Linked DNA regions of Lepisosteus oculatus. The protein of the gene in region 4 interacts with the protein of the main gene of each other region in a pairwise test. Links are inferred from orthologs where the notes say so. Each region holds a gene or a part of one and is shown on either strand. Other genes may lie near its edges. The genes, in order: spega, heterogeneous nuclear ribonucleoprotein R, ewsr1a and prmt1.

Region 1 (7,997 bases), on a different chromosome or scaffold from region 4:
TTTCAAGTGTAAATGTACTTCTTACACTCTACTAACAAAATACAAATCGTATTACAAACCTAAATCCTAACAAAGAAATCTGCCTCTCTTAACATTTACTGGGTTTTACTTCAATGTCTTCATTCAACACAAAAACATAAATAGGTCAAAAGAAATATAAAGAAAAAACATTGGAACTAGTCATATTGATATAAATGTATAATATGGTCGGATCTTGACATTTTTCATTTCATAACAGAATTGCATCATAATCTGAAAATTGCTGTCTAGGAAGTTTCCAGAATGCAAAGATGATAAGGGGATATTTGAATGTGTGATGAGACAAATTATATGGCATACTACACTGTAGTGTTAAAAAATACAACAAAGTGCCAAAATCTTTTCCAGTCACTAAACTAATTTCTGTGGGAAAAGAAGACTCAACAAAGAACAGAAGAATTGGGAATAAGATAATTATTACACTTTTACTTAAATTTCAGAGTTGATATCAGAAAGATAACAAAAAGAAGGAAGTTAAAATTAGACTTGGGCAGAGTTAGGGAAAATACATTTTAAAATGTAAGATGTTTACTTTGCTCATTATCAACTATAAAGAATTTTTGATTTACCATTTACCACCGTACAATTTCCTTCATTTATGTATTTATGAATCAAGGGATTCTGTAATTTCTTGGGAGTTTTTGTTGATAACATGATTCAATCCATGTGCAGATACTGTATATACTTCTTACTTAGGTGTAACTCTTTCTGAATTCCCAAAGATGTATATAGCAAACCTCAGAAACCATCAATTTGTAACACTTGGTTCCATAAAAACCTCAAAGTTATCTGGGCCCTACTCTGGTATCCACGTGCTTTATCCATATGAACTCTAACTGAACTGAATTTGCATTCAACAGTTGGATTTTAGGTGGAAATACACATCTTGATTCAGGATTACAGTTGACACCATCATTCCATACTGTCCTACCCAGATTAGCACTGTGGTTAACTGTCATAAAGACACGTTTAACAAAGTGGCAGAAGATGATACAGCTACTCCATCTTACTGTGCCTCCCAATGACCCACCATTTTAAGAGACACAACCAGCGGTGGTTACCAGTTATTTAAATCAATATTGCTTTACAGTACTTTATCCATCCATTATTAATGCATAATACAGAATGAAACTAATTAGTATTTAGTAGTAGATGCTGATACTTAATTTTAAAGTACAGTACTACACAGAAATAAAATCTTTACTGTGAATTAAATCATAGCTTTGTTAAGTTTGCCTTATCTTTCAAACAGAATTAAGACTCTGTAAACTCAATGCAGAAACAAAACATAGTCTTCTGAAGGTAAAAGCTAGAGCCATAGTGCAGTGAACCATTCCAAACAAGTTTTTGTCTGCACCTTACACACTGTAGGCCTTATTTTTAATAACCTCTGAAAATGGAAAAAACAACAACATTTTTTAAAAAACTGTTAAAAAACATATTAAAAAACAGTGAGCACTCTAAGAGAAAAATAGTTAATAACCAATACTGATTAGAGATAAATGTTGTCTTTTTGAATTACCTTCCAGGTCCATGACAGCAAGGACAGCGCTGGTTCTTGCCTCTCCCAGCGGGTTGGTCGCTATACAGGTGTAGAGCCCAGCATCACTGAGCTTGCAGTCCCTGATCCACAGCCCTCCATATTCCTGGTTATCCATAGGAAGCAGCATGTCGTTGCGGTACCAGTGCAAGTTAGGTTGCGGATCACCTGCCACTGTTACTTTCAGACGGATGTCGCACCCCGTTCCCACAGCTGCATTTTTCATCTTGCGGAGGAAAACCGGTGGTGTTCGGTAAGAATACTCATCTGAGCCTCCTAGCTCTGGTACCACCTGATCCGGAACCACTTTGGCACGTTTCGATGGGATGCCAGGACTAGGGGGCGCCACTCCTATCCGCCCCCGGGCTCCCTCCTCCCCAGGCTTCTTCAGGGTCATCTGGACTTCAGCCTTTCTCATTGTTGGAATCTTCTTCTTTAAGCTCTTGTAAGTGCCCCAAAATCAATTATTTTACTTTTATTTTCTCACTATTCCTTTTACAACTTTTTTCCAAAATCTTTTAAACTCTTTATTATTTTGGCCCTTGAACTTTTGCCATTCTTTTTAGTTTACAATTATTTCTTAGCCTGGATTGTCTTGGCAAGCAAAAGCGTTCATCAGCAGGCAAATCCTCTAATTAATGGTGGCTTTGAGAATAATTTTATATTTGAATTCAAGTATTCCAAAACTTTTTGTGTGAGTAAACTACAATTTAGATGCAAAGTAGCTTTTAAAAATTCATAGTTTTAAACATTTTTTCTACAATTTATGAAGATTTACAAATAACATACAGATGTATCTCTTCAACATAACTTAAAAAAATTAACTCCTTCATAAATTCTGGTTGTTTTCTTCATATTAAATCCTAGCCTAACAGTCATGCTTCCAGAATTGCAAACTTGAACCTCTGCATTACGTTTATGTCTCCAAAATAATGCCTTATTAGATCAAGCCTTAGAACCTTAGAACATATGAGTAATAAATAAATGTATTACCTTAATGTTACTACAGCCAAAAAGCTTTGGAATACTCTTCACCTCCTAGAACAGTTCAGATAAAGTGATTAGAAAGAAAAACTAAAGGTTTAATCTTTAGCCAATTAAAAAAGATACAGCCCGTCCAGTTTCTCCTAGTGAAGCAAAGTTGATGGTATTTTTAGTGCAAGTCCCACTGGATCATATTGCATTAGCAACCTCCTTGTATTGCCTTTTGGAACTGCTGAGGTCTGCTTTACACCCTTCTGTGTGGATCTTCAAGGTCTTAAGGGACCTGGGGAGTCTTATAGCTTCTTGGTTGCAACTTCTTATGCTTCCGGTATTACCAAATTAATTTGCCTTTCATACATGTTTCTGTCTCTGTAGGCATCTAGTTCTATTGTGCCTACGGTGTCCACACTTTCTTTGAGTATAGCTCTTGCAGTCACACTCTCTCTCCCTATCTAGTTGAGTCCCTGGGGAGGTGATTGTTGAGTCCCCTAAGCCTTGAAGTGACAGCTGCTCACTGATCAGTCACATTCTTTGGACAGTAAAATTCTTCTTCCTCCTACCACCCCCTCGGACATCTAGCCAACCAAACAACCCACAGTGTGCATGTGAGACTGCAAAAGGAGGGAGAGGAGATTAAGTTCTGATTCATTTGTCAAAGATAGAAGCCAACCAGGAACCTGCAAACATAACTTCAAATGCATCAGGTGTAAGCAGAGGGCAGCCTCCAATCTCCCCTGGATCTTAGTGCAGATCAGTCCTTCCAGCTATAATCTAGTAGTATCTGTCCTAATCGCTGTGTATATCATACTGGAGATGAGGACACAAGGATTAGGGAAAATGAAGGAAGCATTGATTTAGAAAATGTAAGAACAATTTTGATTGTTTTAAATGTAATTGTATGTACAGTGACTTTTACAAGTATTCAGAACTAGGCACAGTTTTTTTATTTTGTTACTTTAAAGCTTCCAGTCATGAAGTAATCTCATTGAAGTAGCCATTATTATTATTTGTTTCATATATTTACTCCAAACAAAGTAAAAAAAAATCAGAGAGAAAAAAAGTACATAGATAATACAAAAGAAGTGAAAAAGTCATGATTGCATAAGAAAAGTATTCAGTCTTTTTTCAATATTCAGGTTTTTTTTCTCTTTAGGTTTTTTCTGACATTTATAGTATCTTATCCATAGAAGTGTTCAGTTCAAAGATTCAGGTTTTGAATAAGTGTCTAATATGTGTGCATTAAATTTTGAATACATTCCAATGTTTACATTCATGCTTGATCCTAAAATTGATATTATTGTTAAAATAACTTTTAACCATTCATCTTTATAAGAAGCAGTTAAGCTGTCTGTTTGTCATGTGCTATCTGATATACTGATATATTTAAATTATGCTAAGGAACAAGTAATAGGTTTATTCCATGCTGAAAAGAGAAGAGAGAAAACACAACGTTTCGGCTGTGAAGACTTCTTAAGGTATGAGAAAGACAGGGCAGACAGCAAAAATTAAATAGCACAGAAGAACAGAAGCTGGGGGAGGGGAGGAGGCAGGAGGGACAGAGAGGCAGAGACCCCACTCAGGAAGTGCAAAGTGGACAGGGGTGAAGAAAGGTGTGAAGTCAAAACCTGCATGAGAATAAAGAAGATTACATGAAAAATAACTCGGTCATTGATAGAAGGGGGATGGTGTGAACCTAGTTTCAGGATGAGTTTCTTTTCTGTTGTTTTTCTGCTATGGGAGTTGAGAAACTCTTCTTTGAGAACAGAGACAGAGATCAGTGTAATCATGGCCATCTGAGGTGAAATGAAAAACTATGGGCTTGGAGAAATCTTTAATCTTCACAGACCTAACATGTTCTCTGAAGGTCTCCTAGTCTCTTTCCGGTTTCCCCAGCGTAGATAGCTGGGCATTGTTTACAAGAGATACAGTAAATAATTTGCAGGTGTATGCATTGCAAGTTCTGTTGCAGGGGAAGGTGCCTGGTGGGGATGATTGCCGAGTGTGTTCAAGGGAGCTGTGAACCAGAAGTTTATGTAGATTGGGTGGTCGGCAGTATGAGATGATTGAGCAGTTAGAAAAAAAGGGTACCGATGGAGGGATTGCCCTGTAAAATGGAGTAGTTGTTAATGATGGTCCTGGGGATAGAAAGGAATGCTGTTGTAAGACCAAGAGTTCGTGGTGGAGTTGATGATGTGAGGGCTGTTTTTGGCCCGGGTGAGGGCCCTATCAATAACATGCTCTTCAAAGGCTCGATATTTTAATTATTATGAAGGTCATCAGTCTTAACTTAAACTTATAATTTGAAAGCACTTTATTGGCCATATACAATTTATTGTATTAGGAATTTGTCTTTTCACATACCCCAACTTTCTCTCCTTGAGACACACAGAGAGGGAGAGAAGCTTGGGGTCAGAGCGCAGTGTCAGCCATTTATACAGTACCCCTGGAGCAGTTGTGGTTAAGGGCCTTGCTCAGGGGCCCAATGGAGTAGAATTCCTCTGCTGGCTGCAGGATACGAACCGGCAACCTTCCAGCAACAGGCGCAGATCCTTAGCCACAGAGCCACTGCCCCACCCTTTTTTTTATCTTGGGATAAATTAGGTGATATGATCGTTAATTTCACTTGCAAAGGAGCTCATGATAGGATGTTCCACGATAATATAAGTTTTAAGAAGGATTAAAATAAAATTACCACCAACCTTCAGACATGATGAAATTCAGCTGGTTTACATGACAGATGATCTGATGGTTGTTTTTTGAGCAGAATCATTTTGACATAGTTCATAGTTGTTGTAACCCAGCCTTTGAATATCCTTAAACAGAAACAGACTCAGAAATAAAAAAAACAAAATAAATAATAATACAAATTGTAAACTTCTCTGTAGTTCTAAAAATGTAAAACAATGCTTATATGGAGCTTCAAAACAGAAAGCACATCCCTCAGATCCCTCAGATACATACAAAACTATAGCAAAAATGAAACATGGACATACCTATTCACTATCCGTCATCAATGATGAAAGATCTTCTCTTTTGTAACCTCTACTGTGATCTTATACCAAATTATGGAAAACCTCAAATACTGGTGAATAGGAGTAGAATTAGATTTGTTTTTTTATATCAGAATAGATGTATAATGGGCAAATATCAATATAACTAAATACATGTTTATAAAAGAACAGTCTCAACAAGTCATCTTGTGTTCAATTAGATGATTACTGAAGATGCAGTTGAAAATAAAGGTTCTCAATTCTCTGATTTTCCCAAAAAACACTGCTTACTTTAGTTACTGTGATTTTGCACTGCCAGTTTCAGTTTAACTTCTAGAAATGTGTTTTATAGACAGAAATCATCACCTTTGTTACATGTAAAAATTGAATTAAATTCTCTAAAGTTTCGTTCTATTTGTAGTCTGATAAAGTGAGTGTCCACACTGTGATATTTAAGGTTTTTCTGAAGTATATGAAATGTATGATATGAATTCTGATAACTGCAAAAGATGAACCAGACATCTCCACCTGCTGGCCACTTCATCCCTACTGTGCAGTTTTTTTTCTTTTTTCAAACACATAGACATTAATATTGTTTTTTTAAAGAAACCTGTTCCTTATACAGTATATGAAGCACAAAGACAACTGAAAATTTATTTTAAGATGAAGACTATATAATATGATTGTATTTACTTTGTTTTTCATGATGCAATCTGTAGTTTTAAATTTACAAGCATAACCCTGGAGATTATTGGAAACAAAAATGAATAACATTTGGGGGCATTGTGGATCAGTCTACAGCATATCAGCAAAAATGAAATTGCTGAAAATTATTTTTGTCTTTTTCATTCAGTGCAACACAGAAAAGTCAGGAGTCATTTAAACTCACTTTGCTGAAGAAGTGCCTTCTTTCCAGTGAATAAAAAGAGTGTTAAATTGGAAATCTACAACACACAAATGATAACATAATCTTGAATATTATCTGTATTTTGGGACCTTGAAATCCATCAAATCTTATTTTCTGTTATTTGCACAACATAATAACACAATTGAAAACTGATTTAAAAAATGAGGAAAATATTTTCATAGCAATACTAAAAAAGATCATATTGAAGACATTGTCTGCTTATGATTAGTGGAGTAATTTTTTGCCATCCAGCAGGCTCAAACTTTTTTCAACAAATTCCTTTTAAACACTTTTCCACTGGTAGTTCAGTTCAACTCTTAATATGCTATTCGGTGAAGACACAGATCTGCAAAGATCTGTGTTATCTGAAGCACATCACAGTAGCAATAAACCTCTTTTTCATCTAGTCTCTATTAATTTACTCAGCTGAACTGCTCTGTGCATTTTTGCCCTCTGTGTGCCTACCTCCTTTACACTATTCTTAAAGTAAAACCTGCCTGAGTTGCTTCCTCAGTGTCTGGTTGCCTTGGAAACAACCTCACAATAATGCATGAGGGCTACACATCCAGTATTCTGTCTTACTTATGACTAGTGTGTGGGTCCCGAGGTGGACTGGAAGTGAGAAGGTAATATTAAAATGAATCCAAGATTTTTGGTTGCTTTTTTATTCAAGAGAAGATTTTGTGAAATATAAATAATATAATGAGCTTAATGTTTTATCCATGGTTCAGCAGAAACATGAAAGAAAGAACCAGAAATGATGTCTTGTTACGGGTGCAAATTTAACAGACATTAATTAATATTACTCAGAAATCTATAGTAGGGTTCTTTTTACTTTGCAGTTAATAACACTGCACATTTCTGCAATCTTCTGATTTTCAGAAGCATCAGACCACTTCAAAATGTCTTCAGCAACAGTGAACATAATTAGGGTCTACATTGTAGAAAACATTTAATGTGTTGATTCAGTCACACACTATTCATAGTCTTTCCAATGCTAATAGAGTATTTAAAGGATAATTCACCTTGTTCAATGTGACAACTGTGGTGAGTATACTTCAGAGATTAAAGCATTTAAAATAAATATATCAGTCTAATTGTATTTGTTAACAGAAATCGCCAAACAACACTTACTTTTCAGGTCACACTTTATTCCTGATGTTTTAAAAAAATATTAAGATTTCAGATCAATCTGGAAAATTCTTTCTTTTCCAATGTGTTCTGGCTAGTGGGTATCAAACGAATAGACTACTGGCCTGGAGTGGGAGTTTAAAATCTTTGTTTTGACACTTAGCACATGTAATAGTTTGTAATAGTTTTGGATAATGAAAGCCTGCCTGAAAGCACCATTACTACCATCGTGCCCAATCACAGAAACACTTTCTTTTTGGCATTAGGCTATGTCTTAACCATCTAATGGAAATCCCTGTTGTCACAGTTGCTCCCCATAGAGATTTTTAGGTTAAGGAAAATGGGAAGTTTCATTTTACCAAGAATCCTGCTGCTCATTAAACCCTCTTATGTCATTAACTCAATG
Region 2 (7,455 bases), on a different chromosome or scaffold from region 4:
TGTACAATTGTAGGCAGCTCTGGTTGATGTAAAAATATTTTCTTTTGTGAAGAACCTCGTTTTAAAACCGGGCTGCATATTTTCATCCGTCGTAAAGCGCGAATGTACTTAACGATTAATTTTTATTAAAGCGCCACACGTTGTTTCCCTCACGTATTACTTTGAAAGTGCTATTAAGCGTTTCTTCCTTTCACGGTTTTTGTTTTGTGATTACCTCATCCTTTGTGATTTGTGTTGAGAAACAAAATAACGTTTTGTAGTGGTCTTGGGTGTCGGTGAAGCATTTTCGTAAGTGAATAATTGATTTTCATGGCAAACGTTGTCCCGCGTGATAAGTTTCTGAAATTTGCAACCAAATCTGGATCCCGTAGAAGTGTGCTCAGCACAACTCTTACCAACGCGTGTTACTTGGCGAGTGCAGTTAATGATGGCCTTTTCAGTTTATATATGATGTTGACCATCTTTATTAATATGAATTAGGACGTTGCGTTCAGTTTAGTTTAAAATGTTTGCCCCCAAATTAGTGGCGAAATACTTTTCGACGTAGCAGTTGCTGAGGTGCAGTGCGCTCATTCCCAATGCCCTGGTGGTCAGCAGTAGCTCGTCGGCTCTAACTCGTAATTTTCTTTTCCTCCAGGTTCTGCTACTCGATGGCAGAGGCCATCTGCTTGGTCGCCTGGCTGCCATTGTGGCCAAACAGGTTCTGCTTGGTAAGAATCTTTCTTTCTGTCGTTTATTTGGGCAGTTTTGTCTGAAGCAGCCCAAGTGATATCCCTTGTTCAAGAAAGAGGACCTGTGCAGTGTCCCATCTGGGACGTGTGCCCACTGCCTTTTTCCCCTCTGATTGCAGGGTTGGTGTCATAATGAGCTTGTACCTGGTTGTAAATAAGCCACCTTTTTCACCATCTTTCACTTCTACCTCTGCTGCAATATGTAATTGCTAAAAGCAGTTACAGATTGTACTACCAGTTGAAGTAGTTTATTAAAATAAACGTTTTAGAGGTCATTTTAAGAAGTTCAGTTGTCTAAAAAATGGACTGACAAATACCTGACTGTCTATGATGATGCTTATCCTACATTGTTCGAGTTTAACTACCATGAGAAAACTTGACATGCACTACCATCTGAGACGGCAGATGGTTTTTAATGGCAGCGTCCAGCAGTCCTTCGATGTGCCTAACCGCCTGTTACTTTTACAGGCCACAAAGTGGTTGTCGTGAGGTGTGAGGGCATCAATATCTCTGGGAACTTCTACCGGAACAAATGTAAGTGACCTCTTCTGCACTTCAGTTTAAGTCCATGTTTGCGGCATATCTGCGGGGGATCCCTCAGTTTAAAAGGATAGTGGCGACCAAAGCGAACTGGAAATGGCCTTTCTTGTGGGTGACCTAAGATCTTAGAACAGAATTGCTGAGCAAATCATGCATTTTCTGGTCATGGTGTAAAGAATTTACCTATTCATTATTCCTAGCAGGCTTTGCATTTTTTTTGTACTAAACTGAGAACTTAGGTCCGTGGGTAACTGAAGTCAATGTAATAATGCATGTGTGGCTAAGCAGGAGGTAGAGGCTGGTCTTTGTCTTGGGTAGCACAGTAAGTGCATGGTGCTGTCACAGTTTGGTCATGCTCATGTTGAGCTTTTGTCTTGGAACAGTGAAGTACCTTGCCTTCTTGCGCAAAAGGATGAACACCAACCCATCCCGTGGGCCCTACCATTTCAGAGCCCCCAGCAGGATCTTCTGGAGGACAGTGCGAGGTGAGGCGCTCTGAGGGCTGGAGCCTTCGATGTTACGGCAGCTTACAGAAGCCACAGCATGCGTTGACCTAAATGGGTGGCATTGCGACTTGCTCTCGACTGCTGATTCCTGAACTGTGATGAGTCTTATCCCGAACCTGACCTGGTCTGATGACAAAAATATGGATCTGACTGCTGAGTTCAGATATTCTTTAAACCTATATAAACGTTACTTAATAGTGTATATCCATAATAGTTAAACCAGCACTTTTCTTGCAATCAAAGCGATGCTTTTCCATTTTCTGGAAGGCTTTTGTGAAGTCTTTTTCCAGGAACGTAGCCCTGATACTTAAGATAAGTTGCATCTTCTATATAGATGCCCTTTAATAATTTTACTGCATAGGGCCAAACATGGCTTCACCAAATGCTGAGCAAGGGGGTGCTCAATTAAAAAAAAAAAAGAATTATGGTGACTTTTTAGAAGTAATTATGCCTTTCTTTGTAAACAGGTATGCTTCCACACAAAACAAAAAGAGGCCAGGCTGCATTGGAGAGACTGAAGGTCTTCGATGGAATCCCCCCCCCTTATGACAAAGTGAGTGGCTCCTGCACACTTCATGCACCTGATCCTCTGATGTGCGCTGTCGATGATGCTTCTATTCTACCTACATTGTTTGAATATTCTTAAATGAGAACATGAAACACATCTGAGACACACTGACTCTTGTCCTTTAAAAGGCTTTGGTTCTATTCGGTGAAACTTGACACCCCTCCTCTCTCCCTCCCCAATGTGTCCCGCAGAGGAAGCGTATGGTGGTGCCAGCTGCTCTGAAGATTGTGCGCCTGAAGCCAAGTCGCAAGGTGACTGTTGTAAAACAAACATTTGGTTTTGGCCTTTATAAAATGGCAAACGTCTGAAACGTGTGGTTTTACAGGAGCTCTTCTGAAAATATTGATACCCTTTTCAAAATAGTTCATATAGTTTCTGAGGCAGGAGCTTTGAAGTGCTGTGTGTCAGTGATGTTTTTCCACAGTTAAGTATTCGAGTTTCACGACCATGAGAATACTTGACATGCACTACCATCTGAGACCAGACAGCACAGGATTCTAGTAGACCTGTAGTATTTAATGTAAAGGGTGATGGATAATCTGATAAAAAAATTAGCTTCTCGATGTACTTACAAGTACACTGGGTGGAAAGCAGACACATGCATGATTGTGTCCCTATATACTTGTAGTGGTTAGGACTGGAAAACTTACTTGGGTTTGTTGTTCTGATCATTTGACTGGAAATGTGAAAAATATACACATTCGCTGTATTTGTTACCCAAAAAATGAAAGACTGGGGTGGGGGGAGCTCAGGTTGGAGGTCCCATCGAATGAGGTCTCATTGCTCCGTCTTGGTCCTCCCCTCCAGTTTGCCCTGCTTGGCCGCCTGGCCCATGAGGTTGGCTGGAAGTACCAGGCCATCACAGCCACCCTTGAGGAGAAACGGAAGGAGAAGTCCAAGATCCGCTACAACAAGAAGAAAACTGAGCTGAAGCTGAAGAAGCAGGCGGAGAAGAACGTCGAGAGCAAAATCGCCAAATACACTGAAGTCCTGAAACAATATGGAGTTCTTGTATAAACTGGCCGTCTTCACTCGGAAAATAAATGTTTATATAAAGTATCCGCTGCTCTCATGGGTTATTTTGTTTGGATGTTGTGGGCAGTGTCTGGATTTGATTGTGAAGTGTGTGGTGCCCCTGTGTTAATAAATTATTTTCTCTGGTGTTTGCAGGAATCTCAATACAGCAGTTATTTAAAGTGCCATTTGCAAATGAGTTCTGTTTACAAGCCATGCAGATTACTTGGCTTTAGAGCAGATACCTAGGCCGTGTTAATTTCATATCCCTAAATTCCTTTTTTCTGAATCAAAAATACCATGTGATCTTACAAGGCATTTGTCTTGCAGTTCCATCGAATTACCTTTTTTTTAGTTTTTCGAAGGCTATTGTGGGGGTGACTTCTGAGATGAGAAACAGGGAAGATTTTCCTTATGTCCTTAATCATGAAGTCGTGCCTTACGAGCTGCATCACAATGTAGCCCGTTCAGCCCAGGTACTAGCGATACAGGAATATACGGAGATCAAAAGGATTACTAATATTACAGAACCTGTGCTGGTACAACGACATGAAAAGAAAGGATATAAGCACTTGCACCCTGTCTTTTCTTAACGTAGTTCGGGTTAAACGATTCCCTATTACAGCCTGCTCAGATTTCGAAGCAAGCAACTCAAAAATAACATCATCGGCCGAAACAGACTTAATATCGAGAGCAAGAGAGAACTACCGCGTAAAATGCCTACAGCTGTACAAGTTCAAGGCAGTGCGTCGTCTTATTTTGTGTTTCTGAAAATGACTCGGGTCTACATCACCATGCCGTGATAGCCCCGGTTGTGCTGCATGTACCCTGTGCCTAGGCACTGCTCCTGTAATTTTCCATTGTCACTGGAGGTGTCGGGATCGGATTCTTTCTGTAGACTCGTACTCTGCTGCAAAGCGCCCGCAGCTGCTTCTCTTTCCAGCTAGCAGGGCTGCAGCCTGCCGCTCCTTTCCCTCTCATTGGTCCGCCGCTCACGCCAGTCTCCCCGCTTCGCTTCTCTGATTGGCGCTTTCTTCCCCTTCGCGGCGGCCCTGGAGAGTGCGCTGGGAGACCCCGTGGCAAAGTGGCGTGCGCGCTCCCCTAGACAGGGTCGGGTTGACCGCGAGGAAGTGCCGTGGACGAGCATTGGTCTGTCTTAAGTCTTCTCCCGTGGGCAGATTTATAAACCCTTCCTCGAACACAGGCAGATTTAAAATACAACAGCGTCTCAGTATTTTTTTTAAAGACACGTTTTTTTTTTAAAAAAGGCCGCAGACAGTTGCGGGTAGCTGCAGTGACGGAATTCTTGCTTTAAAGGAGCGGTAAGTTTCAGCCGGTCGGATGTGTTTTTCTCGGGCTGGAGGGGGATGGTCTCTGCTTTGGAAGGGTTTTATTTAGGCCTGTGAGGTGGGCTCGTTTTTTTAAAGCGTCTCTGAGAGTAAAATAAACCCAGACTTAAATCCAGGGTAGGCGCAGAAGGATCTCTAGGCATCATTTCGTATGCAACAGAAGTATACGTAATCACAATAAGGGGTTTCGGAGCTTTGCGTTCTTGTAGGCCTGTCTGAAATTTGTGCACCAAAGGGGGCGGAACGGATTTTTTGTCTTCGGCCGTGTGTGCAGTCCCAACTGCTGGTATTAATTTACACAGAAACCATTGTTTAAACCCGCAGGTCCCCATCGGGAAAATTCCTACAAAACATCAACCGGACGCAGGCTTGCTGATTGCAAAATTATTGCGTTTGGCCGATTTTCTTTGGTATTTTGCCGTATCTTGGGTCTCGGAACTGCGTTCGGGTTGGCGTTTTTTTTTTTGCAGCACCAAAAGAGAAAAGCTCCGGTAAACAAGAACTTGATCCAGCTAATGCTAATTGCAAATTGCTATACGCTGTAATTTTCAAATTCGTGTAATATATTACCTAAAATGCCTTCCATATTCCACATTAGCCTAGGGATTTTTTTTCGGCGGCGGCTTGGGTTAGATCAGTACGATTTTCCATTGGCAGTTTTGCCCGCTCCCAGCGGATTAGGCAGAAATGCCTTTTTTTCCCGTCAAGAAAAGACGAGATTTGCTGGAGTCCCTCCATTTTTTTTTAAAACGTTTGTCTCGGCAGTGAGATCCATTTAGCCACCCCGCTTGTGTTTCGTGTAGCTCCGCTGTCGCTGACTTTTTAAATACATTTTTGTCGGCCCAGTTGCCCAGTTTTGCCGTGTGCGGTTGATCCGTCACGCCATCGCCAGCATCGCTTGGATTTGTAGAGAGCATGGTGTGGAGAACCGGCACCCAAAGCTGATTAAGATCAATTTCTTTAGTCCGTAAACAGGGATTCTTTTCTTGAACGTTGTGTGCAATATGTTAAGCATGAACCAATACAAGGAGAATAAGATGCGTTCTGAGTGTTTATCTTAATGTTACCCCACAAGTACCCCTGAGAAATTATTTGGATCAGTGACCCTTAATTCTATATAAATAGTTTATGCTACAGTTCTTGTCGGATTTTATGTTTTAATTTGACAAAACTGTTATTTAGAGTCGGTGGTGAAAGATTTTCAGGAATAAAATAGTGTTGTAATGTATATAACTCCGGTTAACATTCATATTTCTCCACATTACAGCATTAATAGACTTGCATAATGTTCGCAGAGTACTATAAAGAATTTAACAGTTTTGACATTTGTAATTCTTTATGAAGTGCAAGCACGCTTTTCTATGTTTGTCTAGAGAGCATTTGGACACGGTGTGTTTGAGCCAATTTATTACCTCTTTTGAGGTTTTGAGGCCTTTCTGCATCTGTTTCTCATTTTTACCTTTTAGAATATTGATCTGGTCATTGCATGTAGTGTTACAGTACATCTACTAGAGAATGTCTCTGGAAATGTCGGATGACGGTTTCAGATGTTATTGATGTGCATGAGAGTTTAAAATTGCTCATGGGGTTGATTTTCTTCTTCAGTTACAGTAGGAGAAATGGCTGCTGAGGTGAATGGTAACTCTGCCCAGGTTAAGGAGGAGGACGAGCCAATGGACACCTCAAATGTAACCCACACAGAAAACTACCAGACTCTCATAGATGCTGGATTACCACAGAAAGTAGCAGAAAGGTTGGACAATATCTTTCAAACAGGTATGTGCTGGTTCCCATTCCTCATCTGCTGTGTGCTTAGTTTTTCGTTCTTAGTTTTGTTTAAAGAAAAACAAAATGGCAAAAAGTTTCACCTTTGCCCTCTTACCTCCATCTTTCTCAAGGGTGGTTATGTGGGGCAGGATGTTGTAGCTCCTTTGACATCTTAGAAAGTAATAAGTTAATCGATCAAGCGGAAGGATTCAGTGACACTGGTAGTGTGTTGAGAAGGGACACCGTGTGAAGGAAAGTTTGTGGTCCCAGGAAGAATGTCTGGTATTAGCAGTTGGTGAGAGTGCCATGACTTAAACACCGCAAATTACAGGTTTGGTGGCATACGCAGATCTGGACGAGAGGGCCATTGATGCCTTACGAGAATTCAATGAAGAAGGTGCTCTCTCCGTTCTGCAGCAGTTTAAAGAAAGTGACTTGTCTCATGTACAGGTGAGTGCATGTCCTATAGCTCCCCTATTTTTGAATTAACTGTGATTATATTCATCAAAGCGATCATGTTTTTTTTCTTTTCTCGAGAGAGAGAGTGATTTTGCTTTTTAAAATAGTTATATTAATTATTAGCAAGCATTTGGACCCTCCCCTCCTATCCCATCCCTACCTTCCATTGCCTTAGTGCTCTTTATTTGCTTAAATTAATTTTTCTGCCTTCTGTTGCAGAACAAAAGTGCATTTTTATGTGGAGTAATGAAAACCTACAGACAGCGAGAGAAGCAAGGAAGCAAGGTACAAGAGTCTACAAAGGGGCCAGATGAATCTAAGATTAAGGTAGAGTATTTGTAAAAACATACAGAATGGTTCAGTTTATTATTTTAATATGTTAGAACATTCAGTAGAATTTGGTTTCAGATTTGCCAGTTAGTGTGAATTGTCTTTAGGAAGCTTGCTATGGTGTTCAGACCATGAAGCCCATTGCTGGAGAGTGACGTTCGGCTGCTCTGAAGGCCTTTCATAAGTGTTTT
Region 3 (8,052 bases), on a different chromosome or scaffold from region 4:
AGCTGTCGGCTCTATTCTCTAATAATGAAATGGTAGGAACACTTTAATCCTGGAACCTTAAAATGCACTTTCCTGTATAGTCTTAAAGACAGCATATTATCATTTGGCTCTATATTTGCGGAGTCTTCAACTCTTGGCTACAATGAAGATATGTAGACTGTTCTGATAGATGAAATGTTGTAGCTTCAAAATACACTACATGATTTATCAGGTCAATTAAACACAGGTCATCCTGAATCACCTGGGCCTACGTCTAAAAACTGGGAACAATTACTGGGCAAATCTTAATTCAAGGATCTTTGGCTCTTGATGCCTAACTTATTTATAATTGTGCTATAAAAGTCTGCTAAAAATCTTATCACAATTACAATATTCTACAGTTTTACAAACATAATTTAGGAGAAAACTACAAAACCTCTTGTGCTGGACCTCTGCAGAACTAGGAATGGAAGACCCTCAGGTAAAGCCTGTCAATAGCATTACACAGTTGTGGGCCATAATGAGTTTACATAAACTGGACTACAACTGTTTTTCAAACAGGGCATTTGAGAAAATTACCTGCTCAGGTTTCAGAGCATAGAAAGCAATGTACACAGTACATTACAGTTGTGGCAACAGCCATATACACGTTAAACTACCAGTCACTGCATGTTTGTGGAATAGTTTTAGATAATATCATGAATTCTAAATAAAGCACATTTAGAATCCAATATAAAGCCTTTACAAAAACACATATTTGGGATTAGACATATGTAATTTAAAACACTTGTATATTCTGCAAGAAAACCTAGAAAGACAGGAGAATTACAAAAGAGTCTGCTGTCTGTATTGGAATTTGAAGACCAAATTAATACAACTCTAACCAAGATGCAAATGCCTAACAGTGTCAAGCACTGTAAAGACAAAAAAACTGAAGGGAAAAGCAAGGCTTAAACATCACTAGCATTAAGTTCTGCAGACTTTTTAAAATAATCTCATCATGTTTAGTTATAGTCAAATTCCAAGGGTATTTCACATATACAAACGACTGTATTCACTCATGTAGCAGTTATGGCATGTTTGAATAGGAAAGCTAGGAGCATTGTGAGCTTACAAACAATGGCCACAGGATTAGCTAGAAGCTACAGACATTGTTGGGCAAGAACAAACAACTATCAAAACCATGAAACAGCACATCCTTTGTAAACACTGAAACAACAGCCTCAATGATCACTTCAGCTCTGTGGAGAGATAGGGATCCCAGAGTGCAACGTCCAGTAAAATAACACAGGGCTAGTCTTCCAGTTGGACAACAGGGGACAAAGTTCACACACAGCCCACAGACACTTGAAGGCAACACAGCACTAAGCATCCCAAGCCTGTGAAAGGAGGAATTATACTTTAAGGTATAGAGGGTATAGTACAGATCGAAGATGGCGTGAAAGTGCACACAGGTACAAGGACAACTCAGGTATGCAGCAGCTGAACACAAATGCAGCAGGATATCACTAGCTACAATTTAGGAAAATTAAAAATAAGATACATTAAGGCCTTAACAGCAGTAGAAGCCCGAATATCACAGGTTCAAAACCAAGCCTTTCTCAGACAAAATAACTGCGTGCAGTTTTGTCCTTCGCATTCCCCATCACCTCACCACGCACAGCGGGCTGAGGGAACACCGTCACGCTAAAAAACAAACAAACCCAAGTCGCGGAGTCGCGTCGATACAGCTCGGATACCTTGCTCAAAATGCAATTTTTTCTTTTTTTAAAAAAGAAGTTTGATATCTGACGCACTTCTCCACTGCAAAAAAAAGGGGGTCCATCGCGATATTAATAATAATAATAATAATAATAAGCGTTTACCAAGCACCTGGGGGGTTTGAGCGAAGGCCATCCCCACAACAACACCTACAGCTGCGCCCCAACAGGAGTGTGGGCAGCCGTGTGACCCCGGCAGGGCCTGGGCATGCAGCTGGCGCTGCAGCGCGGAGGAGGAGGAGGAGGAAGAGGAGGAGGTCGCCATAGCAGCGTTTTTACAACAAGCCGGCGGCGTCTGACAGCCCCGCATGGCGCAGGAGCCGCTCGGGAAAACACCCGCGATCCGGCAGGCCGGAACACCCCACACACGCCCAGGGGGCTGCGTGCACTCCGATTATGGCGAGTTTTGTTTTTGGGGGTGGGGGTAAGGGAGTAAACAACAACAACAACCACATCTGGCCCTCGGACTCGCGAAGGTGTGAAGAACGAGGCGCCCCCACGAACAGCTCAGCTAGATCCCCCCAAACACGCCATTCAAGCGCTTGTAACGCTGGACCGCCCGCCCTGCCGCTGTACAACCGCCAGATATGCACGCCTCATTTCGGCTTGCCCGCTCTCCGTCAGGGTAGCGGGAGGTCCCCTCCTCCGTCGCGGCCAGGGTGTCTCCACTCTCAGAAGGCCGCGACCGCGGCCACCCCGTCCGCTTCACCTCGCACCGGCGAGCACCGCTGTCTCCGGACGCGATCAAGCGACCGTGCACACCGCGCACGAAAATACGGAGGCAAAAATACATTTTAACAAATAAAACGCACTCTTTTTTTTGGGGGGGGGGGGGTTACGCCGCCCGACGGAAGAGATGCGCTTGGTTTAATTGATTAGTTTTGAACACCGGCCACAAGGCAACAGTTGTCCTTCCGTACGCTGCAAATCCAGCCCCTTCACGGACAAAATATGAGGGGGAAAAAAAAACGATCCCGTCTTATGGCACCGAGGAAAAGGCGTTTCTGCAGAGGCCGATGCAACCGGCGCAGAACCCTGAAATTCAAAAGTATTCCAACTAAATGGGGATGTACGTCCACCCCATCCCCCAATACTGCAATTATCTCGCTTTCACAGCCTAAACACCGCCACAAGGGGACGGGGAGCATGCTGCAGTGCGTGCCATCTAGTAACAGCGGTCAGATCTGTTTGCCATTTTCACCAAAATATATATATAAAACCGAGTAATAAATCGAAACGGCTTCCCCGCCGCCCTCACCAGCTGCTGACGCCATTTCGTGTGTCCTCTGTGAGTGTTCCTGGCGCGCATGCGCGAAGAGGGGCTTAAGCCTCTACCAACTCTCACCGTCGTAGGAGGAGGAGAAGAAGCAAAAAAATCCGATCCATTTGGAAAGTTTAGGATCCATTCACGTAATAACGCGATTTAGTTCTTGTGGGTAAATTATTTATTTATGGTCAGTGATTTTTTTTCCATACGCTGGGTTTTAGGGAACTCGAACTCACTTCGAAAATGGTACATTCTAGTTGGTCACCCCCCCCCCCCCACATGACGTAAAAAGCATGCTAGGGACCGTCTCAAAATTTTTCAATGAGAAGAAAAATTCAATACGATGAAACACAAACAGGTGACAATTCAACACAGAGCAATCCTGCCCTGCGAGTAATTATTTTAATCTGAGACTCACGGTGCTCTTTGTGCACATCTTGTAGATGGAGGACAAGGTTAGTCATATATTTTTGACTGGTACGCCTTGCAGAATTGGTTCTCACACAGAATTCTCATTCAATAACCTTTTTTACCAACAGGTGAGTGGAGTTCCCATGGGCACCAGAATGGGACCCCGCTATGCCAATATTTTTGTCGGCTGGGTAGAAGATTGTCTCTTCGCTTCCTACACTGGCTATGTCCCTGACCTCTGCAAGCGATACATTGATGACTGCGTCGGTGCTGCCACATGCTCCAACGATCAGCTTGAGTTCTTCCTGCATCATTTCACCAACTTCCACCCGTCCCTCAAATATACAGTTAACATATCTTCCTCTACTCTTTCGTTTCTAGACATCAACTTCTCCGTCAACTACCCCCGACTCTCCACTTCGGTTTATTACAAACCCACAGATTCACACGGCTATCTCCTGTACAGCTCATTTCACCCCAAACACACTAAAAACTCTCTTCCCTTTTCACAGTTCCTTCGGCTACGATGATTATGCAGCGACGACACCGACTTCCAGAACCAAGCCCTCAAAATGTGCTCCTTTTTCATCAGCAGAGGATATCCCAGCAGTGTGATTGACGGGGCCCTCGCCCGAGCCAAAAACACCCCTCAGACCATCAGCTCAATCAGGAACCCCCGCCGTAACAACCGCATACCTTTGTGCTTCCCTACCGCCCCGACACTGTCTATCCCCAAGACCATTAGCAACAACTTTTCCAGCCTACAGGATGATCCCTCCATTGGGGCCCTCTTTTCTGACCACCCATCATCTCGTATCGCTGACCACCTAATCTGCGCAACCTTCTTGTTCACAGCTCCCTTGACTGCCCTCAGCACCCATCCACACCAGGCACTTTCCCCTGCAACTGAGCTGTCTGTCCCCTCCTCTCTCCCAGCTCTTGTTCTCCTGCTACATTACCTCTGCCTACTGCCCTGTCGTTCTCACACCTGAAGAAGGCTCCACGGCCGAAACGTTGTGTGTTTTCTTTCTTCTCTATTCAGCATGGAATAAACCTATTACTTGTTCAATTGCAACCTACGCGTGCTGGCGCAGCTACCCTCCTGAACTACTCTTGACTTTTACTTGTGTTCATCGGATAACAAGCTCGTCAGGTCTAGTGTTCAGTTTTGTGATGGTCCCTAACTCTAGGATGTGCGGTTCGGGGAAGTTTAGTACTTTTTCCTAATATGCTTCGTCGTGGCTGAAATGAAATAGGGTTTTATTTGTAAATTATGGGTTGACAATGCGGTGGTTCACTAAACCTTCAGAGAGAGTCCTGAATATCGCAGACACGGTATTGCACGAACCATTTATTGAACTCGACTGTTTCAGTTTCGACGAAATTGGTGGTGAGGGGACTCTTAGCCGGTGAAAGCCTTCAGGTGTTGATTTCATACTGAAAGTAAGGCGGGGGAAGAGGCACCTGGCGCTTGACAGAATGGGCGGACAGATGACTTGCGATGCTTAGCCGGTTCCCCTCGTTCTGGTCTCGGCTTGGGTCGAACCGGTCCGGGTTTCCAGCCGGCACCGCCGGGTTGCTCGGTGCCGTACTGGTTACTTGGCTCAGCGGAGCGTACGACACTCTGTACCTCGACTCGGAAAAAGTGTTACCTGGATTGCAAGGTGAGTCCGCCCAGGGGTGCATTCGTGCAGCAGGCGGTAGGTACAGGCGCACCTGCACCGTTCTCTTTCACAGGAACACGAGGGTGTCTCCTGCCTAGCAGCTGCTGAGGAAATTAAATATAGAATTAATATATAAAATACTAGATCTATCATTACAGCATACATTTCTATATAAATCTAAACAAATAACGGAAGGGTTGTTTTAGGTTTTTAGATGTAACTGCATGTAGCAATAGATGGGTTTTGATAACACACAGCAAGTGTAGGAAACAATATACGTTTTCTTAATGATCTTGGAAGAGTTATCCCACAGTCTACCCTGCCAGCGGGACCTGGCGTTAACTCCCTTTGTCCGTTGCTTTGTCTTGGAGTTCACCGCCTGTGGACCTACGCCTTCTGCCACCAGGACCCTGCGGCCCTGCTCCTCAGCAGCGCCGCCCTGCTGGCGCTGGGGCCGGCGCAGGAGCGGCGCTGGGGCAGCGCGTGCTTCCTGGCCCTGTCCCTGCTCTCCTGCTGCCTGCCGGCCCTGCTGTACTGTGTCCTGGCGCGGCTGGGGGCCGGCGGGGCGGGGCGGGTGGGCGGCTACTCGCCGGTCCACTTCGCCATGCTGGCTGCCCAGTGCCGCCTGGGCCAGCAGGGACGAGCCCGTCGCTGGCTCCCGGCCTGGGCCCTGCCCTGGGCTCTCCTGGCCGGCAGCTGCTTGCTGGTGCCGGCCTCCCTCGCCCTGCTCCACCTGTGCGCGGTCTGCGTGGGATTCAGTTGTATCCTTGTGGGAATCTGCTGCTCTGCCCCTCGTGGAGCAGGCTTGTACACGGCCCTTCTTTAAGACTTTATTTCCACAGTGCTTATTTTGCACCATTATTGCTGTTCTCCAGATTTTAAAGAGCCGTGATCTTTGCTTAAGACTCTTTTTCACTGCGGATGTTACAGATCCCGGATGTCACCCATCTGTCCATTTTCCAAGCTCTTTATCCAGTCCAGGGCCACAGGGGAGCCGGAGCCGATCCCAGCAAGCAGCGGGACGGCAGACTGTTATACCAGTCGGTTGCTCCCTACTGGCTGACACTTTGTACCACAGAACTGAATCTGACTGGCTGGCCCAAAACCCTGTAACCTGTGAGGAAAAATCATTAACAAATGAAAGTCTGTGATACTTGATTTCCTTCACTGTGGACTCTCAGATAGCTCGGCCTTTCTCAAGTGGCTGCAGAAAGGAGAAGACCATCTCTGTCGTCTTCTCCCACGCAGGGCCTTTGTGCTTTCCTCTTATAGAGACAGTCTTCCCGTGAGCTGCACGGGTCAAAGGTAGGAACGACTGAAGCCCAGGGTGCGAAACACTCTGTAAGGAACCCTGCATGTGTCTGCATCTCCTCTTGGGAGCTGGTCGGTCATTTTGAGGTTGGACGCTGCTGAGCATGACAAGGTGAATCTGAGACATCTGTGCACCCAAAGAAGATGGATCTTCTCATAAAATACTAATAACTTAGATTCACAGCCGGTGCTCCACTCTACGTTTAATACATTAGACCGTAGAGAGCTCAGATAATCAGGTTGAATACTGACGTTACTTCATTCTTCCTTCTCCCTGGGTTTCTTTGACCTGGGGAGACAGTAAGGGTTGGGTTGTGTCATGGAATCCAGCCCTTATTCCAATTGTGTCGTGACGCATGTGTTACAGACCTGATCCGTGGGCAGAGCCGTCCTCTGCCAGGCAGCTGGAGCCCTTGCAGAGGTCCCAGTGGGAGGAGTATGACATGCGGCCTGAGCCCTGGAAATCCCAGGAACCTGACTGGGCAGCAGGAGAGGTGCCGGCTGTCTCCGAGGTCCAGCTCTTGGAAGAGCAGCTGCTGAGAGCAGGGATCCTGGCCTCTCTGCAGGACGCTCCTGAGGGATCCGTCGAGAAACTGGAGCTGCCCAAATCTTCAGTGTCATCTCTGCGGTGAGTCACCGAAACCTGTGTTCTGGGAACGCAGAGGTCAGTGCCCTTCTGACACGCAGGGCTAATGCTAAAGGAAACTACCCCAGTTTTTTACATTCTGGTCTAATCTGCATAGGTAATCCTCAACCCCAGAGTACTGGTTTGAAGTGTGTAGTGGTCGTTTTTATTGAAAGAGGTTGACTCGGTAATTCACCAATCAAATTAAATAAGGTCACGTATGTAAAAGAACTGAAACCAAAACAGATGAGGTTGTGTGGAAAGAAGTCTGAACTTGAACATGCTAGTTTGCACAAAAAAATACCCTACGTCCAGGGTTGTCAGTGTGCATGAAACAGGTCAAACACAGGAATATTTAGAGACTGCAGTCCTGTCTGTCACAGGTCATGTCATATTCATGCAGGTGGAATTAACATATGTCTTGGGTTTTCAAGAACAGTGGAGTACCACTGCTATGGTTGTGAAGTGCAGTGCTTTAGGTGGCAGCTAAGTTAATGGTCAAGAGTGAGAAAGTTCTAAGTAGGTCAGTGTAGCATTTAAAAACTCGAAGGAAAAGGAATAGAAACCAGAAGATACTGTGAGCCTTAAGGTTTTGTGACTCATGTTTTGGAATTAGCATTCTGTGAAAAAATGTTATATCTGAGTCATATTTGGAGGCTTTGTGCTTCCATTGGGGATTTAGATGCGTTCTCTTTGATATAGGGCCTAATGGAGATATTCTCTTGGTGTTGGTATGTGGACATGTTTGTGTTTTTCCTTTGAGTCCGACCGTAAAAATGACATTTTGCTAAATGCATGGTTTTCTTGTCTGTTGTCTCGGAAACAAGCCGTGTGTTATACCTAAATACTTTCTTAAAAGACATGTTTGTGAGGGAGGCATGGTGGTGCAGTCTTTAGCATTGCTGCCTCGCAGTGCTGGGGCCCTGGGGTCAGTTTCTGGGGTGCTGTCTGCGTGGAGTCTGTATGTTCCCACTGTGTTCCCATGGGTTTTCTTCGGGAGCTCAGGTTTCCTCCCACAGTCCCAAGACATGCTGG
Region 4 (7,444 bases):
CACACCTGTGTCGTCTCTCTGCTGCCCAGGCCGTTTACGGCCGATCTGGGGTCCCGACGGGAGCGCAGTGCCAGTCCCCGAGGAGATCACCTGGCGGACCGCGGACACAGCTCTCCGCGGCCCCCCGAGGTCTCCCCTCAGAAGCCCCGGCGGCTGCGTCTCTCACGCCCGCGAGCAGAGCCTAGCCCCGCCTGTCTCCCGCTGGCGCGGGTCCGAGGGGACCGGGCCGTGGGGCCTACCTCATGGATGCCGAAGTGCGCGTAGGAGTCGAAGTAGTAGTCCTTCGAGGTCATGTCCTCCGCCGAGGGCTTTCCTGAGCTCTCCCCCTGGGACACCTGGACACACAGGGACACGGAGAGAGAGAGACAGGAGGAGGAGAAGGAAAGGAGAGAGAGAGAGAGAGAGAGAGAGAGACAGGAGGAGGAGAAGGAAAGGGAGAGAGAGAGAGAGAGAGAGACAGGAGGAGGAGAAGGAAAGGGGAGAGAGAGAGAGAGAGAGACAGGAGGAGGAGAAGGAAAGGGGAGAGAGAGAGAGAGAGAGAGACAGGAGGAGGAGAAGGAAAGGGGAGAGAGAGAGAGAGAGACAGGAGGAGGAGAAGGAAAGGGGAGAGAGAGAGAGAGAGACAGGAGGAGGAGAAGGAAAGGGAGAGAGAGAGAGAGAGAGACAGGAGGAGGAGAAGGAAAGGGGAGAGAGAGAGAGAGAGAGAGACAGGAGGAGGAGAAGGAAAGGGGAGAGAGAGAGAGAGAGAGAGACAGGAGGAGGAGAAGGAAAGGGGAGAGAGAGAGAGAGAGACAGGAGGAGGAGAAGGAAAGGGGAGAGAGAGAGAGAGAGACAGGAGGAGGAGAAGGAAAGGGGAGAGAGAGAGAGAGAGACAGGAGGAGGAGAAGGAAAGGGGAGAGAGAGAGAGAGAGACAGGAGGAGGAGAAGGAAAGGGGAGAGAGAGAGAGAGAGACAGGAGGAGGAGAAGGAAAGGGGAGAGAGAGAGAGAGAGAGAGAGACAGGAGGAGGAGAAGGAAAGGGGAGAGAGAGAGAGAGAGAGAGAGAGACAGGAGGAGGAGAAGGAAAGGGGAGAGAGAGAGAGAGAGAGAGACAGGAGGAGGAGAAGGAAAGGGGAGAGAGAGAGAGAGAGACAGGAGGAGGAGAAGGAAAGGGGAGAGAGAGAGAGAGAGAGACAGGAGGAGGAGAAGGAAAGGGGAGAGAGAGAGAGAGAGAGACAGGAGGAGGAGAAGGAAAGGGGGAGAGAGAGAGAGAGAGAGACAGGAGGAGGAGGAGAAGGAAAGGGGGGAGAGAGAGAGAGAGAGACAGGAGGAGGAGGAGAAGGAAAGGGGGGAGAGAGAGAGAGAGAGAGACAGGAGGAGGAGGAGAAGGAAAGGGGAGAGAGAGAGAGACAGGAGGAGGAGGAGAAGGAAAGGGGGAGAGAGAGAGAGAGAGAGACAGGAGGAGGAGGAGAAGGAAAGGGGAGAGAGAGAGAGAGAGAGACAGGAGGAGGAGGAGAAGGAAAGGGAGAGAGAGAGAGAGAGAGAGAGAGAGACAGGAGGAGGAGGAGAAGGAAAGGGAGAGAGAGAGAGAGAGACAGGAGGAGGAGGAGAAGGAAAGGGAGAGAGAGAGAGAGAGAGAGACAGGAGGAGGAGGAGAAGGAAAGGAGAGAGAGAGAGAGAGAGAGAGACAGGAGGAGGAGGAGAAGGAAAGAGAGAGAGAGAGAGAGAGAGAGACAGGAGGAGGAGGAGAAGGAAAGGGGAGAGAGAGAGAGAGAGACAGGAGGAGGAGGAGAAGGAAAGGGGGGAGAGAGAGAGAGAGACAGGAGGAGGAGGAGAAGGAAAGGGGGGAGAGAGAGAGAGAGACAGGAGGAGAAGGAAAGGGGGGAGAGAGAGAGAGACAGGAGGAGAAGGAAAGGGGGGAGAGAGAGAGAGACAGGAGGAGAAGGAAAGGGGGGAGAGAGAGAGAGACAGGAGGAGAAGGAAAGGGGGGAGAGAGAGACAGGAGGAGGAGAGAGGGGTGGGCATGAGTTGTGCTGCACACAGGTGACACACTCCCCCCAGGACCCCAGCAGCGCCCCCACTGGTCACACAGCGGACCTGCGCCCCCTTCCCGATCAGCCCTTACCCCGCACGGATGAGTGGGGGGGCACACGTGGGCACCCTACAGCTCCACGCGATCAATCTCATCTCACGCCCACGAACACCAGTGACCCCCCCCACCACCACCAAGCGCGCGCACCCACAACGTGGGAGGCCTCGTGCCCGCCGGTAACAGCGACTGGTGACACGTGAGCTCGCCGCCTCGTGCGCGCGTCCCACCCCCCCCCTCCTCGTCGTCTTTGTGCGTGACCGGCTGGCGCCGGCAACCCACTCATGGCGTGGGTACGCGCCGGCCCGGAACACGCCACCCTGCTTCCCCGACAGCACGAGGGCCCGAACCGCCACGGGGAATAAAGGACACGGACCCACGTGCGCCACCACAGGCTCAGTGGACACAAAGCGCCCCCACGCCACGAGGCGCCCGCCTGGACCTATGGTGGCAGGGACACACGAGCTTCCCCACGCGTGTCGGAATTCACCACCCCACTCCTCCTCCCCACGGACTCGGGCTCAAGCCCCGGGCGAGACCCGTCACGACGCGCCCCACGCCGGGCTCGGGAGCAGATTTCAGGGGCTCGGGGGTCCGGCCCCCCCTGCTCCAGCCGAGCCCACTGCGAGCGGCACCGGGACCGGACCGACGTCCCCGATCCCCGCCCGCTGCGCCCCGCCAGAACCCTTGGGGGAACCGAGCTAAAATGGACGCGGCCGCTCCGGCACGAAAAGCGACCCAACAAAGAGACGCGCTTGGCGCCCCGTCCGCCTCCGCTCCCCGATCCCCCCCGACCCGGACCAGCCCGGCCCAGCCCCTCTTCGCCCGGGTCCCCGGCCCGCGGCGCAGCCCCTGCTGCCCGCCGCGGCTCGGCCCCCTGCCCGGCCCGCACACGCCGCCAGGCCGCTCACCTCCATGCTTGCGTTCTCCGCCATTTCGAGTCTCCGTCTGCTGCTCCGCGGCCCCACACGCACCTTCTGGTCCCGCCCCCCCGCCGGCTCCAAAACCCAGGCCCGGCGCCCTGATTGGGCCACGGCGCTTGGGCCACGCCCACGGGGCGGCCCCTCTTCCGCCAGCGCAGACCTCCCATTGGTCAAACCCCTTGTCCCAGCCCACCGTGCTGGCTGCCTCCGGCCCCGCCCACATCCATGGCGCATTCGGATAAAGCGGCACAGCGATTGGACAGGGGGGCCGCCAGTCACCGCCGGGCACCGCCCACCGGCTTCCTGTCCGCCCCTGGTGAGTCACTCAGCTGCAGAGACTGTAAATCTCCGCGCCTGCAGGGGGAGACCAGTTTCGGGCTCTGCATCGCCGCTCGGCTCGTGTTCCGAACAAATCAGGCAGGAGACAGAAACGTCCGTGCAGTTTGGTTTCATTCGGCAAACTAAAACCTCTCATGTTTTGAAAACGCCGAATAATTGCGCCAGACTGTGTTTTCTGACCCCCAGCTGCGCGTCTTATTGTTCTTACTATCAAGAGTAACTGTTATTTTCAAGAGCAAAAAAAAATCTCAAATGCAGGAAACACGCAGCAGAGTTAAAACAGGAATTTAGCTTTATTTAAACGTGCATCGGGTCTTAAAAATAAAGATTGTCACCACCGTGGATAGAAATGCATAGCCATCCATACCGGCGGGATTTTCTTTAAAGGATTTAAATCCTCCGGAAGGCGGGTCTGTTGCGAGTAAGAGATCAGCTTCTGGTTGATTGACTGGTAACTAGACCAATCAGTGGGCTTCTGCTTCCAGGGAACAGCCAATCGTTTCTGCTTCTGCCGTGGCTCGGCAACAGCCAATCGTCTTCAGGGAGCCGAGCTGAGGGGCGGGTCCTAAGGACTGGTGGGGACCGACGAATATGACGTCATATAGCGGTTTAACAGCAGACAGAGAAAATAATGTTTTATATGGGTCGTCAAACATGTGTATGATGTTGATTGCAATTTTTTTAATCAGCCACTCCCACTGCAAGATTCATGCGTTATAATAATGAAAATTCACAGCACCAACAATAATGTTCTGGGGATATGTCGTGGAGATGAATTAAACCTTCTGCAATCTGATTAATAAGTGCGCATATTACTACAAGTGATATCATAAAGCACGGTACAAATAGTGTAAATCATGTAAAGTCCAGTGAGATCAGGGTAAAAACACAGTATAGTGCAGTAAAGCCCAGTGAGATCAGGGTAAAGGCGCAGTAGAGCCCAGTGAGATCAGAGTAAAAGCCCAGTACAGCTCAGTAGAGCCCAGTGAGATCGGGGTAAAAACACAGTATAGTGCAGTAGAGCCCAGTGAGATCGGGGTAAAAACACAGTACAGCGCAGTAGAGCCCAGTGAGATCGGGGTAAAAACACAGTACAGCTCAGTAGAGCCCAGTGAGATCAGGGTAAAAACAGTACAGCGCAGTAAAGCCCAGTGAGATCAGGGTAAAAGCCCAGTACAGCTCAGTAAAGCCTAGTGAGATCAGGGTAAAAACACAGTACAGCTCAGTAGAGCCCAGTGAGATCAGGGCAAAAACAGTACAGCGCAGTAAAGCCCAGTGAGATCAGGGTAAAAGCCCAGTACAGCTCAGTAGAGCCCAGTGAGATCGGGGTAAAAACACAGTACAGCGCAGTAAAGCCCAGTGAGATCAGGGTAAAAGCCCAGTACAGCTCAGTAGAGCCCAGTGAGATCGGGGTAAAAACACAGTACAGCGCAGTAGAGCCCAGTGAGATCGGGGTAAAAACACAGTACAGCTCAGTAGAGCCCAGTGAGATCAGGGTAAAAACAGTACAGCGCAGTAAAGCCCAGTGAGATCAGGGTAAAAGCCCAGTACAGCTCAGTAAAGCCCAGTGAGATCAGGGTAAAAACACAGTACAGCTCAGTAGAGCCCAGTGAGATCAGGGCAAAAACAGTACAGCGCAGTAAAGCCCAGTGAGATCAGGGTAAAAGCCCAGTACAGCTCAGTAGAGCCCAGTGAGATCGGGGTAATAATAATAATAATAAACTTTATTTTATATAGCGCCTTTAAAGGTGGCTTCTCAAAGCGCTTTACAGGATGACAATAACAATAAATAAGAAGACTACAACAATAAATAAGAAAATTTCACAAGACAGGACACAATTATAATTACAGCAATACAACAATAACAATAGAGGAGACCGTGGAAGATGGTATTAAGAAGAGCAGAGGGGTGAAGAATGGAACCAGTTAAGTAAAGGCTTTTCTGAAAAGGAGGGTTTTGAGTCTGGATTTGAAGGAGTTTAGAGAAGGTGACTCTCTAATATCCTTGGGCAAGGAGTTCCAGAGCTTGGTAGTAGGGCGATAAAAGTTCAGACAGGTATTGAGGTGCCAAGCCATGTAAAGCCTTGTAGGTGAGCATGAGGATTTTAAAGTCTACGCGGAATTTGACCGGAAGCCAGTGCAAGGACTCCAGGATAGGAGTAATGTGAACACTTGCACTAGATCTGGTCAGGATTCTGGCTGCTGAATTTTGGACATACTGCAGCTTGTTCAGAGTAGATTTAGATACCCCAGGGAGCAGAGCATTGCAGTAGTCAATTCGAGAGAATACAAATATGTTGATCAGCTTTTCAGCCACAGTTAATGATAGCATAGGGCGTAGTCTTGCGATATTTCTAAGGTGAAAAAAAGATGTTTTGACAGTATGCTGTACATGTGGGTCGAATGTTAAGCCAGAATCGAATATAACCCCAAGGTTTTTCAATTTTGATTGGAGCTCAAGTACAGAGCCATCTACAGACAGGGTTACAGGACTGGCTTTACGAAGTTGATGGGGGGTACCAATAAGCATGACTTCAGTCTTGTCACAGTTAAGATGAAGGAAGTTTTGAGTCATCCAAATTTTTATGTCAGAGATGCATAGATGTAAAAACACAGTACAGCGCAGTAGAGCCCAGTGAGATCGGGGTAAAAACACAGTACAGCGCAGTAGAGCCCAGTGAGATCGGGGTAAAAACACAGTACAGCGCAGTAGAGCCCAGTGAGATCGGGGTAAAAACACAGTACAGCTCAGTAGAGCCCAGTGAGATCGGGGTAAAAACACAGTCCAGCTCAGTAGAGCCCAGTGAGATCGGGGTAAAAACACAGTACAGCGCAGTAGAGCCCAGTGAGATCGGGGTAAAAACACAGTACAGCGCAGTAGAGCCCAGTGAGATCGGGGTAAAAGCCCAGTACAGCTCAGTAGAGCCCAGTGAGATCGGGGTAAAAACACAGTCCAGCTCAGTAGAGCCCAGTGAGATCGGGGTAAAAACACAGTACAGCGCAGTAAAGCCCAGTGAGATCGGGGTAAAAACACAGTACAGCTCAGTAGAGCCCAGTGAGATCGGGGTAAAAGCACAGTCCAGCGCAGTAGAGCCCAGTGAGATCAGGGTAAAAACACAGTCCAGCGCAGTAGAGCCCAGTGAGATCGGGGTAAAAGCACAGTCCAGCGCAGTAGAGCCCAGTGAGATCAGGGTAAAAACACAGTCCAGCGCAGTAGAGCCCAGTGAGATCGGGGTAAAAGCACAGTCCAGCGCAGTAGAGCCCAGTGAGATCAGGGTAAAAACACAGTCCAGCGCAGTAGAGCCCAGTGAGATCGGGGTAAAAACACAGTACAGCTCAGTAGAGCCCAGTGAGATCAGGGTAAAAACACAGTCCAGCTCAGTAGAGCCCAGTGAGATCAGGGTAAAAGCCCAGTACAGCTCAGTAGAGCCCAGTGAGATCGGGGTAAAAATACAGTACAGCTCAGTAGAGCCCAGTGAGATCGGGGTAAAAACACAGTACAGCTCAGTAGAGCCCAGTGAGATCGGGGTAAAAACACAGTACAGCGCAGTAGAGCCCAGTGAGATCGGGGTAAAAACACAGTACAGCTCAGTAGAGCCCAGTGAGATCGGGGTAAAAGCACAGTACAGCTCAGTAGAGCCCAGTGAGATCGGGGTAAAAACACAGTACAGCGCAGTAGAGCCCAGTGAGATCAGGGTAAAAGCCCAGTACAGCTCAGTAGAGCCCAGTGAGATCAGGGTAAAAACACAGTCCAGCTCAGTAGAGGTACAGCTCAGTAGAGCCCAGTGAGATCAGGGTAAAAGCCCAGTACAGCTCAGTAGAGCCCAGTGAGATCGGGGTAAAAACACAGTCCAGCTCAGTAGAGCCCAGTGAGATCAGGGTAAAAGCCCAGTACAGCTCAGTAGAGCCCAGTGAGATCGGGGTAAAAGCCCAGTACAGCTCAGTAGAGCCCAGTGAGATCGGGGTAAAAACACAGTCCAGCTCAGTAGAGCCCAGTGAGATCGGGGTAAAAGCCCAGTACAGCTCAGTAGAGCCCAGTGAGATCGGGGTAAAAGCCCAGTACAGCTCAGTAGAGCCCAGTGAGATCGGGGTAAAAACACAGTACAGCTCAGTAG

The links.
Region 1: the proteins of prmt1 (region 4) and spega interact in binary tests that used the Homo sapiens proteins (3 or more experiments, as listed by UniProt). The two-hybrid records come from large-scale screens. The link is inferred for Lepisosteus oculatus from reciprocal best matches to the Homo sapiens genes PRMT1 and SPEG.
Region 2: the proteins of prmt1 (region 4) and heterogeneous nuclear ribonucleoprotein R interact in binary tests that used the Homo sapiens proteins (3 or more experiments, as listed by UniProt). The link is inferred for Lepisosteus oculatus from reciprocal best matches to the Homo sapiens genes PRMT1 and HNRNPR.
Region 3: the proteins of prmt1 (region 4) and ewsr1a interact in a two-hybrid assay, tested with the Homo sapiens proteins (2 studies listed by BioGRID and IntAct). The link is inferred for Lepisosteus oculatus from reciprocal best matches to the Homo sapiens genes PRMT1 and EWSR1.

What each region holds. Positions count from the first base shown.
Region 1 is NC_090707.1:23,240,078-23,248,074, reverse strand, and holds the start of spega (striated muscle preferentially expressed protein kinase), read right to left. Parts: upstream 3,090-7,997; 5' UTR 1,998-3,089; coding exon 1,562-1,997; intron 1-1,561.
Region 2 is NC_090706.1:7,943,791-7,951,245, forward strand, and holds the start of heterogeneous nuclear ribonucleoprotein R, read left to right. Parts: upstream 1-4,447; 5' UTR 4,448-4,681; intron 4,682-6,313; 5' UTR 6,314-6,327; coding exon 6,328-6,484; intron 6,485-6,806; coding exon 6,807-6,925; intron 6,926-7,153; coding exon 7,154-7,261; intron 7,262-7,455. Other genes in the region: rpl13a (large ribosomal subunit protein uL13), read left to right, coding at 638-710, 1,200-1,265, 1,655-1,756, 2,245-2,330, 2,537-2,596, 3,153-3,362. UniProt on the Homo sapiens protein: Component of ribonucleosomes, which are complexes of at least 20 other different heterogeneous nuclear ribonucleoproteins (hnRNP). hnRNP play an important role in processing of precursor mRNA in the nucleus.
Region 3 is NC_090717.1:13,479,250-13,487,301, forward strand, and holds the start of ewsr1a (RNA-binding protein EWS), read right to left. Parts: upstream 3,048-8,052; 5' UTR 3,014-3,047; coding exon 2,998-3,013; intron 1-2,997. Other genes in the region: rhbdd3 (rhomboid domain-containing protein 3), read left to right, coding at 4,919-5,081, 5,453-5,842, 6,263-6,386, 6,760-7,020. UniProt on the Homo sapiens protein: Binds to ssRNA containing the consensus sequence 5'-AGGUAA-3'. Might normally function as a transcriptional repressor. EWS-fusion-proteins (EFPS) may play a role in the tumorigenic process.
Region 4 is NC_090702.1:791,491-798,934, reverse strand, and holds the start of prmt1 (protein arginine N-methyltransferase 1), read right to left. Parts: upstream 3,080-7,444; 5' UTR 3,003-3,079; coding exon 2,979-3,002; intron 336-2,978; coding exon 240-335; intron 1-239. UniProt on the Homo sapiens protein: Arginine methyltransferase that methylates (mono and asymmetric dimethylation) the guanidino nitrogens of arginyl residues present in proteins such as ESR1, histone H2, H3 and H4, FMR1, ILF3, HNRNPA1, HNRNPD, NFATC2IP, SUPT5H, TAF15, EWS, HABP4, SERBP1, RBM15, FOXO1, CHTOP, MAP3K5/ASK1, MICU1 and NPRL2.